Styela clava: one gene and its partner. The protein of the gene in region 2 interacts with the protein of the main gene of each other region in a pairwise test. Links are inferred from orthologs where the notes say so. Each region holds a gene or a part of one and is shown on either strand. Other genes may lie near its edges.

What was found. The genes of interacting proteins can lie anywhere in the genome.
Region 1: the proteins of mitogen-activated protein kinase 1-like (region 2) and ARF GTPase-activating protein GIT2-like interact in a two-hybrid assay, tested with the Caenorhabditis elegans proteins (3 studies listed by BioGRID). The link is inferred for Styela clava from reciprocal best matches to the Caenorhabditis elegans genes mpk-1 and git-1.

What each region holds. Positions count from the first base shown.
Region 1 is NC_135260.1:6,658,746-6,666,751, reverse strand, and holds the start of ARF GTPase-activating protein GIT2-like, read right to left. Parts: upstream 3,011-8,006; 5' UTR 2,913-3,010; coding exon 549-2,912; 3' UTR 1-548. Other genes in the region: uncharacterized protein LOC120346911, read right to left, coding at 5,764-5,848.
Region 2 is NC_135252.1:7,506,275-7,513,164, reverse strand, and holds the start of mitogen-activated protein kinase 1-like, read left to right. Parts: upstream 1-3,865; 5' UTR 3,866-3,932; coding exon 3,933-4,039; intron 4,040-5,403; coding exon 5,404-5,586; intron 5,587-6,161; coding exon 6,162-6,351; intron 6,352-6,890. UniProt on the Caenorhabditis elegans protein: Functions in let-60 Ras signaling pathway; acts downstream of lin-45 raf kinase, but before the lin-1 gene product in controlling vulval cell differentiation. Plays a negative role in proximal germline proliferation in the mitotic zone.

The DNA.
Region 1 (8,006 bases), on a different chromosome or scaffold from region 2:
CCTTGAATTAATCTTTTTCTCAACTAATTCAGCTATCGAGTAGAATAATTCTGTTTCTATATTTATTTAACAAAAATTGAAAACTAATTAGAATCACTGTTTTCTATTAGAAATTAATTCAATTTCTCAACCAATTGTTCCCAAACTTCTCAGACCTATGGCCACTTTTGATATTCGGCCTAGAAGTTACAAACTGTCCCCCCAGTTAAATAATATTTATCAACATATTTTAACAGTTTGAAGATACGTTTAATATAGTAGTCTTGAGTATATTTTGGAATATATAAAATTGTTATCTTATCGCCTTGTGAGTTGACATGGCCGTATTGCAGACCATTGAATAGAGAAACTGTCCATTCTTTATGAAGCATTGAAACAGAAATGGCATTATAACAAAACAAAACTGTTCATGCATGTTGATGATAGAAATTTAAAGATTTTTATCTACTGCAAGCATTTCATCTTTTCTATCATGATTAATAATTGTAGGATTAATGGCAAAAACACGAATTCCCATGATTACTGTTCCACAGTCATAAACCTTACGATCAAGCCTCAGCTCTTGAGGTTGAAGGCTCGGTTTCCTCCTTAGGTGCCATCATAACAAGTTGCTTTTCGGCTTTAGCAACTTCATAAGCATAAGCAATAATTTCCTCCGTCAAATGCTTGTGGCTATCGGCTTTACTTTTATGCTCCGGTGGTGTGTCTTTGCAACGATTTCTGAGCTTGTGAGCACTTTCACATATCAATGATAAGACTGATTTTATTGCTGGCAGGTGAGGTTTGTCGAATAGAGCAATAACTTCTGAAACTGCAGATAGAATATTCTCTGCACATTCTAAATAGGAATCGACTTTCTTCAATTGAGCTGTTTGGAGCAAGGTTTGTATCATTCGAGTAAGTAATTCTGTTTTTTTCATCAACGCTTGACGCTCCGGCCAAATAATTGGCTCCTCTGCATCCACTTGTGAATGAGGACTACTTGAATTACTCTGAGTAGTTTTTTCTTGCGCTTCTTCCTGAGGCTCTGAGGCTTTAGCTGTGTCCTCAGAGACTAAATCAGGCCTAGGCTGTGCTAGAGGAGCTGTTGGTTGCGGAAGATTATTATTTGCATTTAAATTGGTTTGCTGAGGTTCTGCATCTTTGCCAGTAGTTTTCGATTCAGACGTTGCTGTAGTTTCAGACTTGGCTTCGTCTTTTGCAACGGAGTTATTATCGTATTCACTCCCATTACTGCAATGTGATGGGCTATCAGCCGCAGCAACAGCATCATGCTTGGTAACTAATGGACTTGCTGATTGTTGAAGGTCCTCACCAGTGGCACCTTGATGATCAACATGAATTGTACGACGACGTAACTCTGAACTCTCAGTCGAGTGCAATGACGATGTACTCCCTGATGAGTCATTCGGATTATATACAGAACTTGGTCTAGCAGTAGGACTCTGAAGTCCGATTCGAGGCAGTGCTGTAAAATCACTTTGGTGCGCTGCTTGGGGCGTGCTCTTGGCAGATTGGGTTAGCTGTGGAACATTAGAAAGCAACGTTTGAATTTTTCTAGTTAAATCAATCTTCTGTTTTGCCAGTGCTGTGACTTTTGTAGACAACTCACGATTTTGTTCAGTGAGTCTCAAACATTCAGCATTTTTCTCCTCTAATTTTGCTTTTATTGAGAGAAACTCTTCCTTTGGTACAGTTTCTTTAGGTGGCTCAATAGATTTCTCGATTGCAAAGTAATTCAATTCTTCATCAGGTGGAATGTCATAAATCGGGTCTTCTTCTGGAGGAATAGGATCAAAAATTTTCTGTCTTCGAGTGACTTCATGTAGAATATCACAGATTAAATTATTCATTTCAGCTTCTTTGAAAATTGCTAGCTTTTGACGACCCTGGTTACGAGTCGTTGAATAATCTGGATGAACTGGAAGAAACGGAACAACCTCGGTTTGTAATGCTGGGTTTGTGCCTTTCCCAGGAAATAAAATTCCCTTCTGTATTTCTTGCCAAACTCGTTCCAATTCACGACGGTCGACTTCATCATAAACATCCATAGCTAATTCCCCGAATGTTTGGTTGTTTAGAGCTCGAAGACGCCGCTTACCCTCTGGGCTTATCACACAAGCATCCTTTATCTTAGGTAAAAGATAATGCTTTCCAGCCTTATGATCTGGAGTTTGACTGCAAACGAACTCAGTGAATCTATCAGATAGTTCATGCTGAAGTTCAACTAATCGATCGGCTAAATCATTATGATTCTCAGCTCTGGCTATGTCTTCAGGTGTTTTACCATTTGAATCTCGTATAGCAGGATCCGCTCCATAAGCAACAAGCAATTCAACCTGCAGGCTTTGCCCAACTTTCGATGCCACATGAAGCGGTGCATTTCCTCTTTCTGGACTAAAAAAATTTGCTTGAGCGCCACGAGATAAAAGTCGTAAACATGTTTCCAAGTTACCAGTTCTCACGCTTGAATGAAGCTGTTTGCTAATGTCATGATGTTCATCTTCTCTGAGTGGTAAGCGATGAACGTAAGACAAATTCAAATACTTGGATTTGATAAAATCGGATTTTGTTGGGTGAATATTGTCATTAGGATTAGGTTTTCTTTTTCCACTACGCATTTGAGCAGGATCTAACAGCGAGTGTTCCCAAATAGAATTTGCACCCGCAGACACTAGATGTTGCACCATGCTGAGCATATTTGGGTGCCAGGTGCATTTATGCAGATGCTTCACTTGGGAAATATGTCGTCCAAGAGTCATGTGCACACTTGCGCAATCATTGCACATCAAAACACCACGATTCACTGATGCCCAGTTAGCATCTGGAGCTCCACAATCCGAACATATTTCAGAAAGAGGTCGTATCCCAGATTTGACTGGATTTCTCGGCATCGTTCTGCTTTTCATCATTGTCACAGTGAATTGAATTTCACCAACATTAAGTCATCAACACCATCCAATTTATTTTTTTAATATTTGTAATTTGCTAAAGAATTAGGAATGTTAATACAATTCATAGCAATGTTATAATGCATTGTTAGGCAATAATGGAAAAGGGGTGTCTTTCACTTCAAAACATTTACTGCATTTCCAATCATGCTATTACTGAATTATAAAATTCTATACACACATACACAGCAGTATAACCTGTTCCTAAATTATTTCCACTATCCACTACCATCAGACCTTGCAATCATGCTTTTGTTTGTTGGTGATAACTACTGAACTTATAAATTACTAGTATGCAACAATCTTGGGGTCCAGTGTAGTTTCGTACCTAAACTACTTCTAGCGGGTGTTACATAACAATTTTTGCATATGTTAATCCTAACCCCCACCTGACTGGGTCATCTAAAAATTATGGCACTATGACATCACAGTGACGCAATAGAGGTCAAACTATATGAACTATCATCCAAGATGTGCAGACGATCATCTGGAATCGAGCAACTCTTGTCGCAACGATCCCAATATGAGAGAGATCGCTGCCATTAGTGAGTCGCTATCATCGACGCACATGCCATTTTTGGGCGATCGTATGAGCTCTATGTCGTGAATGTGACGTCGTAGTGACATAACTTTGGGATGGCATAGTCAGGTCTGCAGGATTGACACGTGAAAAAATTGTTATGCTATGCCCACTAGAAGTAAGTTAGGTACAAAACTACATGCTGACATGAGACCCCAGTCATGATGGGTTAGATATAACAGAATACTGGAATAAGGAATTTTAAATCGTTCTGCCTTGTGTCATACAGAGTAGGTACACATCTACAGCATTTTGGGTCTAGTATAGTTTAGTACCACAAGTACTTCCGGTGGGCGTAGCATAACGAATTTTGCTTATGCTATTCCTAACCCCCACCTGACTGTGCCATCCAAAAATTACGTCACTACGACGTCACCATCACGTCATAGGGATTGCCAAAGTATAATTACGATCGCCCGAAATGACATCTGCGCCGCTGATAACGAACTTGCTAAAGCCGGCGATCTCTCTCCTATCGTGATCGTTGTGACGAGAAAACGGGAGAAATTGATTGCTCGATTTCGGGTGATCGTCTGCGCGTTTTGGACAACCATCCGCATACTTCGGTGGGCATTATTACGCCACTGTGACGTCAAAATGACGTAATTTTTCGGTGACGTAGTCAGGTGGGGGTTAGGATTGACATATGCAAAAATTGTTGAGCCAGGTCAACTAGAAGTACATGTGGTACTAAACTATACCAGACCCGGCATTTTAAGGTACATGAAATGGATTCATCCTGAGAGAGAAAAAAGGTGATACAGTGATAAGATGGTGTAATCATATGGCGAATGACAGTCTCTCGTGCAGTTATTAGTCCATTTCGATATGGGATTAGTTATTTTTTGTCATTGTTTTCCAGTTATTTTTGTTTTTGACAGTCAGATGCATGAACTTGCATTCATACCTGCATACAGAATTCTGCTATTTCAGTATTTCTATATTTGTTGAAATAACAAACATAGTACAGTAATAAGTAATCAGCACTACAACAGTTAAGTACTAGAAAGATTCCAAAAATTCTAAGATTTAGTTAGAGTCTCACAGACAGTTTCAGTCTTCATTATTAAACTAATTAAACCCATTAATAAACTTATACTTATTACGGTACCGGTATCTGATCACTGGATTGTGATATGCGTTGTCCAAATAGTCTACAGAACTAAAAAAACAAATACAGAACTACAGAACTGTCTAACGAACACTGGAATATACTACAAACTCAAAAAGAATCATTCAATTACGACAATTGAACAATTGATTCGAAAACACGACTGCGCGACAACAGAAAGATACCCCCACTGACTGCTTCCACGCCTAGGATTGGTGATTTCCCCTCCTTATTCTATTATAAGTCTTTGTGTACAGGAGGTGCTTGGAGTGCACTTTCATGAGCGAGGTATCACGGCAATTAAATACATTTAAGGAAACATGCACACTATACTGAAGACTAAATATTTTTTATAATATACGGTATTCATATATGATAGAATATCCTAATCATAACAGTTTTTAACCAATAAAAAGCGACCAAAAAAATAGGATCAACATTGGTCTCCCACCACCATATTTAACGAACTCTTCAGCGACAACTGACGGCCGAACGTCGCTACTGAATCAGTTCCCGTATTAAGTACGTTTTTATCGCGTCAGTCGTGTAATATAATACATTGATTCTGAATCTGTCAATTTTGTTATTGAACCCTAATTAGAAGCTGAAACCAGTAATGGTATGTAAATAAATCTGTCAAAACTATACTACCTGTTTCTCACCCAATCTACGTACAGGTATGTCAACAACAGTGTCTCTATTTTTCTCGACCTTTTCAACAACGCGTCAGAAAGTAATTGCCCTCCAGCGAATGCTGTGAAGCTCAGTTTCAATACCGGCAAAAATTACATTAAAATACGAAACATACAAACGGAAATAATTTCGTTCATAAATACTGTAGAATAATCACACTTATAATTTCGACCCATCTTGATGGGATCAAAAATGTAATATAAACAAGCACTGAGATTCATCCTCACGATCGATTGAGTTTTTGTTAATTTAATTTTTAAAACAATTTTAAGATGATCTGTTATGTTATAATTTATCAACGAAACAGCCCAATTATGTGCTATCAGCTAAACTACGTTTATTTTCTAAGATTGTAGATAAAATAATGGAGAACCAAACGTAACAAAATCACACACACGAAGAGAATATAATACAACATAAAAGCTCACCTGATTTAGCATTATCTTCGGCCACAGAAATACCGATAATAACGGCGACGACGAGGAAGAAATTCATTGCAGTACTCTTGTACATCAAATATCCCTTTGGTTTTGGTTCGACGATCGTCACAGATAAAATTTCTGACGAATTTCTATTTCATCGAAGAATGGTGATTATTTAGCCTGCAGCTAACGCGCATGTTTTTCTGTAGATTTGTTGATATCGGGTGGTTTTGCAGTGTGAGGAAAACTTAGTGAAAGGCACTGACGCTGGGAAAGTCCGATAGCGCGCCACATAAAGCCTTGCAGGGATTGCAAGGAATACAACTGTTCATGTCTAAAATAAATAAACATAATTCCTAAAATAATGCTAAATTTTGAATTGTTGTTGGTGTCGTTTGGGGTGATTGTTATAGAAATTCGCTTTCAAATTTTCAATACATAAAATGCGAGAACTCGCTAGAAGCCTATTACTTTTATTTGTAATTTTTTCTGAGGATACCATGATACCAAATATTTCATCCAAAATTGTGATGTTTTACCCGAATTGGCGGGAATACTGTTTTGATCGTTGAATTTCGCGATCATATGAGTATTGCTTCTATTTCGTTGTTTTTATTAAATGTAGCAGCTCTACCTTGGATTCTATCGTACTCGTTGTTTGTGTCATAAATCTAAAAACAAGCAATTGTAATCGCGTTGTTTAAAGCTTTTTTAAATTATCATGAAATTATAATTACCGTACAAAGCTCATTAGACACAAAAAAATCAATATTTTGTTTATAAAACAATAGTACTTGTTTTTAGAGTAATCAAAAAAGACCAAAGTACTACCCGATCCATACATTAGGGCGGCATAGAATACACGCTTATAAAGCGCACGATGGATTTTTGACAAAAAAAAAGCTACAGGGGTGGTAGCACAAAAGTCACATTGGCGGTGTCCAAATAGGGCTGATGAAATGCGGTCGTTGCGTGTCAAATTGGGGGTGACGAAATAAGATCGTCGAGTCAAGTTAGGGGTGACGAAATACGGTCGGGGCGTGTCAGATTAAGGGTGACAAAATACGGACGGTGCGTGTCAGATTGGGGGTGACGAAATACGTTCGCTGCGAAGAAACCGAAGATTTAATTTCTGCATGTCAGAATAGTAGAAGCACGTTTTGAACTGGACCTAATCAAACCTACCAAACATAGCGTATATTCCGGTAATTTTAGGAAAATATATATATATGTATCATAGTCAAACGTGGTTTTGTATTTAAACTTAATTTACCACAATTATCTTTTTACTTTTTAATACAGCGATATTGGACGTCTAATACATTTAAAGCAAGTATAGGGGTGACGAAATGCGGTCGTTGTGTGTCAAAATGGGAGTGACGAAATAGGGCCGTCGAGTCAAGTTAGGGGTGGCGAAATACGGTCGGTGCATGTCAGATTGGGGGTGACGAAATACGGTCGTTGGGTGGTGTCAGGTTAGGGGTGACAAAATACGGTCGCTGCGAAGAAACCTTAAATATTTGATATCGAAGTATCGGAGAGTATAAAATAGGGGGAAAAAACATTTAACGTTCTCTCGTGGGTACTTTTGGAAATGTCGAAAAATTAAAGTTTTGGATGGGCGGTTTCTCGAAAATTTTCAATAAAGTCAGCATTACGATATATTGACAAAAAAAGGAAATAAAAAACATATAAATTCGATTTCATCATTTCAGAATTGTAGCAGCACGTTTTGAACTGGCCATATATAATACCAAACATGGCGTATATTCCGATAATTTTATGAAAAATATATATCTATCATAGTTAAGTATGGTTTTGTATTTCAACTAAATTTACTAAATAATTGAACAATTATCTTTTTTACTTTCGCATACACTGATACTGAACGTTTATACACATGGAATAAGTTGCAGGTATTACAAAATAACAATAAACATTATATGTCCTTTCGTGGATTTTTTTTAATTCTGAAAATTAAAATTTTGATTGGATGATTTCCGGAAAACCTCCTATAAAGGCAGTAATACGACACACTGGGAATAGAGGGGAGACGTAATAGATTCGATTTTATCGTGGCAAAACAGTAGCACGGTTTTACATGGCCGTATGTATTTCCAAACATAGCGTATAAATGTAACATATTTTAAAGAGGATGCTTTCGAGAATCGCTTTTTGGAAAAGTTTATTTTCCTCGAGATGACATTCACATTTATCGATTTGGATGAAACACAAAACCAATTCAAAAT
Region 2 (6,890 bases):
CTTGATCGACTATTATATAAATAAATGCCACTTTCTTTTGTGTATCAGGATTTTACCATTTTTCATTGCTATATACCCAACTATGATCATTCTATTAGGGCGCCACCACGCGGAATCCATCGGAAGGTTATTTTGGCTGTTGACTGCTGAGTCGCCCGCCGTGTTGTTGGTTTATAAGGCTTTCTTTTGTGTTCATTTGGAATATGAATCAGCGAAATGTTACAAAAGTTATGTGCCGGTAGCCTACATAATGTTCCTAATGCTGAGGAACGCAAATTGCAAATGCTGAAATCGTACCAGTTTCTCTCCGCTCTGCCGCTGCTCCACTACCGGTACAGCAGTGCAGACTGACACCCCCCTGCACAATACAGCAATATGCTGATATGACCAGGCGTCTAAAATATACCGGTACAGATACGTTTCGTCCTGTGCCGTACTGTTACCTACGTTGTACAAGTAGTCTATGGTAAGTTCTGGCCAATCTGCTTTCTTGATCCCGCTATTCTCACCCTGTTTATAAAGAAATAAAGTATCTATCACTGTCAGCCTATCCTGCTGTGTTCCCTTATTACTGTATTACAGTACTGCATTATTAATTATTGCTTTATTTAGTTATTTTCTTATACAATGATTGTATTGTCATGATCATTTCTGCTTGGTTTACAGACTTTTCGACACAAGCTGTTTCGTCCCGCACAGCCTTAGCCTTTCCAACTACTGACAGACTGAACTACTCGATGGCATTAATCTATTAATTATAAGGTTTACTGGTTTCAGGAGTCGCCGTTCTTACCACTTCATGGCAGCTCCCGCCACGAACGAATCGTGGCGTCTCTTGCCATGGCGCTATTCAGTAATACCGGTATATTCACAAAGTCGTGTACCAGATTTTAGTTTATCATGCGGAATTATATCTATTTAAACCTCAAATCTAACCTCAAATCTATCCAAATTGTATTTATAAAAAAAATGTTCCAACCTACAGACCTACCCAATATTTATTACCATTAGGGGCAGCCCTACCATTACAGCCGACATGCCCTGTTTATGGCAGAAAAATTTTACCCGCCTTTGGTTTTCAATTTGCTGTCGCGGTAACGGCAGCTCGCCATTGGTTTGTGGCAGCTAAAAAGTCAGTTGCCATAGGTTTGGCTATAGCGGCCATGGTTTGGAAATCTTGCCATGGTTTTGCGGCAGCTTTAGACGCCACAAAATACTTGAAACTGCACTTGGGTTTCAGGTTTGAGTGACTGATGACTGATATCCAGTTGCTTTGCATTGTAAAGGAGACACAGAGATTTATTCACATATATTTGTTTAAAACAGACCACAGTTGTGATTTATTCTCGGCGATGTGGCCCCTGATTACCCTGCGCGGGTTCGCAGAATCCTGTGGGGGTTAACTATGTGCAAGAGAATGGCTGAACTCCTTGTCACCGGAGGGTGGTTCGCGTATTAATAGCTGCTGGTTGTTTACGGCTTCTTCCATCATCAACTCCCAATGCGAATGTCAGTTGGGCACAGTTCTCCGATTCCAAGATGTCCCGACATTTGGTTCAATAAAACAAACACTCTATTTGTGTCTGAAACGAGAGTGCTGGCACAAAGGCAGTTCTGCAGATTGCGCCATGCTTGTCTCAATAATGATTTAACATGTGTCAGCCATCACATGACCGAAATTCTCCCCTGCCGATGGTTTTTTGCTAAAATGAATGCTAGGGTAAATTTTTCTCTTCGGTAAATGGGATTATTTTTTTCAAAGTAAACCCATGGTAACGTTTTTAGATTGCGCTTCATCTTAGTTTATAAGACTGTTTCGTAAAGGAAGAGTCTGCATTCACTGTTATAATTGATGTCTTTTATGTTCTAATTGATGTCTGATGTTGAGTGAATTTAATAACATACCCTAAAATTTTGCCTTGAACCAGTTTTACGAAGGAAGAATATAGTACTGTACATGCGCAAAATATGATATACAGTATTTGAGTCTGGGCAAACCTGATAGCGCTTATTATTTCGTAACAAATGAAAGTTTAATCGCTGCCAAGGTTTAGAAATGAACGTGCCGAATGTCGTATGTCTTGACTGAGAAACGATCTTACAATAACTTCTGCAGTATGCGAAAGTTATTGTCTCACTCCAAGAGTAGTGTGATAAATTGTATTCACAACGACAGCAGTGGCATTAGAATGCCAAATTTTTTATAATTCCAAGTTAGCGAAGACTGTAAACTAGAGGGCAATTGTAAATTAGAACGGAAGTTTAAGCAGTTGTGTAACATATATGGTTTGAGAATATTTATTTTTCGCTGTTTAAATAATATGGATACTTGGCAAGATTTCTTGAGGAACATTTAAGACTGAAAATTAGGCATGCTGTAGATCTGAATCGTATTACTCAATAAATCTCAAATAAGCGATGAAAATTTACTCCTGGTACAATTACATTAACAAATAACATGGAACGATTTTTATTGAAAATGCGCCTACAGAGCCGACCTTATTGGGGCGTTGGAATTTTTCGTATGCGTGTGTGCAGTGCAGTCATTTGTATATTCAGTACCCATTAGTTATATATATATACCCATGTTACTGATCAGTCGATCGCGAGCTATTTTGAAGATTTTAGTCGACCGCGGTCGAAAGCAGGTTGGCCACCCCTGCTATATATGATAAATTGTACAAAATTTAAAGCTAAAGGGTGAGCAAATTTTAATTACTGAAAAATAGCCACTCAAAAGAATATATAGACAAAAATATAATGTAAATGGGAAATTTGCTTGTGCAGAATTTTGTCAAGCGAGCTATTTGGCGGTTACTGCACTCTAAAATCTGGCATGGAATACTTTTTTTTTCATTTTATGATCATCATTAATAATGCAAAATCTTTGATCATCATAATATAATAATATTATTGTGTCTATGTATAGCAAATGGTAGTTATTGTTTCTTTTAATTCTGCAATCGCCTTTGAGATATCTATATATAATATATGAGGCATTGCTTAGGTTTAGCATTAAGAATGGAAGGTATAGGTAATACCCAGAAATGGCCAAAATGCAATAATTTACTACTGTATTCCAAGAACATTTTAATACAATATACCCAAATGTGGAATACCAAATATATTTTAAATTCGGCATTTTGGTATAAAGCTGTTGTTAGAAATATTTTTCTTTTTAATTACTAGACCTATCGCTTTGAAATTTTCAGTGGTTGAAGTTCACTGTTGTCGATGTATATTCAATAATTGGTTTGAGTTTGAAAGTAAAAAAAAGCTGAGATACAGTGAGACTTGAACTGTTCTAAATGATGACTTTTCAAATACAAATCGATCTGAATCAATTCTAAAATCGAGAATTCGCATGATATTCAGTATTAGTTGTAATGGAATAGAAGTAAACTGTAGCAGTTTGTTTGATTCATATTAATACTGCTATGCTATTTTATCATGAACATTTTTGAATAGTGATGATTTTTAGGGTTATCAGCTGTTGGTGAATGTGTAGTGAACAACTGTATCATGAATCATGATTAATACTTTTTTGACTGAATGTAAATTGTAACCGACTTCCTGTTTGGCTGAGTTTATGGTACTCTTGCCAATATTTCTGATCACCTTCTTTAGTAATATTTTCCAATACCTTAGATTAAGTTTTTTCAGGAATTGAGCTCAAGGTGCAAGGGTTCTACGCTAGTCAACAATATACCCCAGACTTCTTAGTAGGATGTCAACTCTTCAGAATTCATTAGTTATGTTTGAATGATTAGTCAAATTTATTCTGCATAGATTACTTCATGTTATATTATTTTTATTTTATTAAAATTTGGTTCTGATTAGAAAAATTAAATATAACAAAAACTCTTTCTTTCTTGATTTATAGTTCACATTCACACTATTATAGTTTATATCGTTTGAGGTAAATTTAAAGCATGGAACGTAAGGCTTGTGCTGAGGTGGTGAGGGGACAAGTTTTTGATGTTGGACCAAGATATTTAAACTTGTCATATATTGGAGAAGGAGCCTATGGAATGGTTGTGTAAGTATCTTATTTTCAATACAGAATTGCTACACTGGCAAATAGGTCAGCATTAGAGTTTTTTATTTACTGTTAATGTAAAGTTGGATTTTGTAATAATGTTCTTCTGATAGATATAATTTTCATATTTCAAATGTAGGATACTTGTGTGCGATACTTTTTAATATTAATTATTCCTAATTGATCAATACATATACTATAATTGACTCGCAATAACATTGCAAATTTGCAATAGGGCAAATTTTAAACTAAATTATTTCCCGGTATTGGATATTCATAGGGTGATGTACTTGAAATTTCAACTTCAATTCAAAATAAACTTGAAATTCATAATAAGTTTGTCATCTCGAATTGTTATCTCAAAATATCCGTTAGTTGGATATAGTGTGCATATCAAAGTTTTATTAATATTACTAATTCAGAAGGGTATAAAATATCGATCATGATTATGAGCAAGATTAACCCTGAATAAGATTTATCAGTATTCCGAGAATTATTTTTTCCTCAGCATTTTCATCATATGTTTAGCAGCTCAGTACCTGATATTGTTGTTGTCCATAGTCAATATGATAAATATGTAACATTTTAAATCCTGTATGGGAACTATTTTTCTGAATTCATTGATACTACAATCAATTCTCAAATGCACTTGTATTCTGTAATATAATGAAGTAATAAAAAGAAGATGAATATAGATCTAAAGCTTTGTCATAATACAGTTTCTTCAAACATAGGGTAGAGTTATGAAAGTCAAATATTTACACATTATGTACTAGACATTTTCAACTAATAAGAAATTGTTTGCCTAAGAATACACTGGATAAGATTGTCGTCACATGCTTGATAATATTCAATATTATCATGATCTACCCCTAACTGCTGGTCATGTTGAAATAAAGTTTCTTTGTTTTTATGGACAGAGTACTTGTTTTGAATCTAACATAAAAGTTTCACATGTAATTTTTACAAGTGTACTGTCATTTTCAAGAGAGTGTTCAACTGTATTATAAATAGTTGCATATTACTTAATGGTAACTTATTTTGAGGAAAATGCAATCAAAAAGAATATTGTATATTTTTCTTACAGATTATTCAAAAATGTGTTTTATTTTTGGGTAGTATAGCCATATTCATACAATTCAGATCAAACGAAATTGAAAATCTTGATAAATTGGACTTGGAAATTATGGTATTTGAAAACTTTATTCGATAAAAAGTCATTGCATGAAGAACTGGTAGAGGGAATAAATTATTAAATAAATTTATTCCACGAAAAAAATTATATTCTTGAGCTCAGGTGACATACGTCAACTGTCACATGACCAAAATATTTGCACTTGTTATAAACTCGAACTATGGTTTAGGTCTGCAATGGACACATTCAAAGGAACAAAAGTGGCTATCAAGAAAATTAGTCCATTCGAGCATCAAACTTACTGCCAGCGTACTTACAGAGAAATCAAGATATTGCTCAGTTTCAACCATGAAAATATTATTACGATCAAAGACATCATTCGGTCTGCCAATATCGCAAACATGAAAGATGTGTAAGTAGATTTATTTAGTTATAGTTCAAACTTCATCGATTTCACATACATTTTCCAGTACTTATTAACATTGGGCTAGGTCATATTCCTCAACACGAGAAAATAAGTAGCCACTGGATCCCGATTTTCAGTAAGATATTGACTGTTGAGTGATGTGCACTTCAAAATTTTTTCTGTTATATAAAGCCAGAATTTGAATCTTCAAATTTTTCTATTTTGTTCATCAAAAAATTCAAAGCTAAATGTGAATATCCATAATTCAATAAAAAAAGTTTTTAGTCAACATCTCTTTCATCATAAAGTTGATAACGAAATTTGTAATACTGTATGTCCCACAAAAAAATGAAAATCAGATATTTTAATCTGTTAGTTGATTTCAATAAATTGGTGTAAAACTCTAATTGAAGTTTTTAAATTTACGCTATAAAAACACTATTTACCACAAATTTTTATATACTCGACATTTAGAATTCATCATTTTTGTTCTTAGTGTTGCTCTTAATCTTTAATTTGAAATGACCCTTCTAAATTTTTACCTCCTTATAATACATCATATTATCTATAACTCAATTTAGACACATAGTGCAAGATTTGATGGAAACCGATCTTTACAAACTGCTAAAAACTCAGCATTTGAGCAACGATCACATTTGTTACTTCTTGTACCAAATCTTGAGAGGATTGAAATACATTCATTCAGCTCATGTGATTCACCGTGATTTGAAGCCGAGCAATTTGTTGCTAAACACCACTTGCGATTTGAAGGTGATTATTACGTGGTATATATTGATTTATTGCAGTTTCATGAAAGCATGATGTGAGTCATGTATTTTATAGCGATGATAGTGAAGCAAAATATATGAATTCATGATGTGTGATCACCTTCCTATTTGACAGGATGTCAACATAGGCTTGGTGGTAGTACACTTAACTAATAAGGTACTAAATAAGAGTGTGGATGGTCAACATTTTTAAAAATGCAAAAATATGAATGAAATCATGCTACTATATTATTATATCATAATTAAATAAATCCACCTCAGGTTTTTTTCAAATAATAATCAATTATGTCAAATATGCCCCATTTTTCAAACTATTTAAACTATAACCATGGGTGTGATGGCCTTGTGGGTAAAGTGAACGACTTTACTATGTTAAAATTGCTGGTTCAAATTCAATGCCCACCACTTCACCTAGAGTGTAATAAATTGAGTAGGTAATGCCAAATCGGAAAGATTCCGATACTTTCAAAAACTAGTAATTTATTAACTAGAATATCGGTTAGAAACCGAAGACTTATCGAT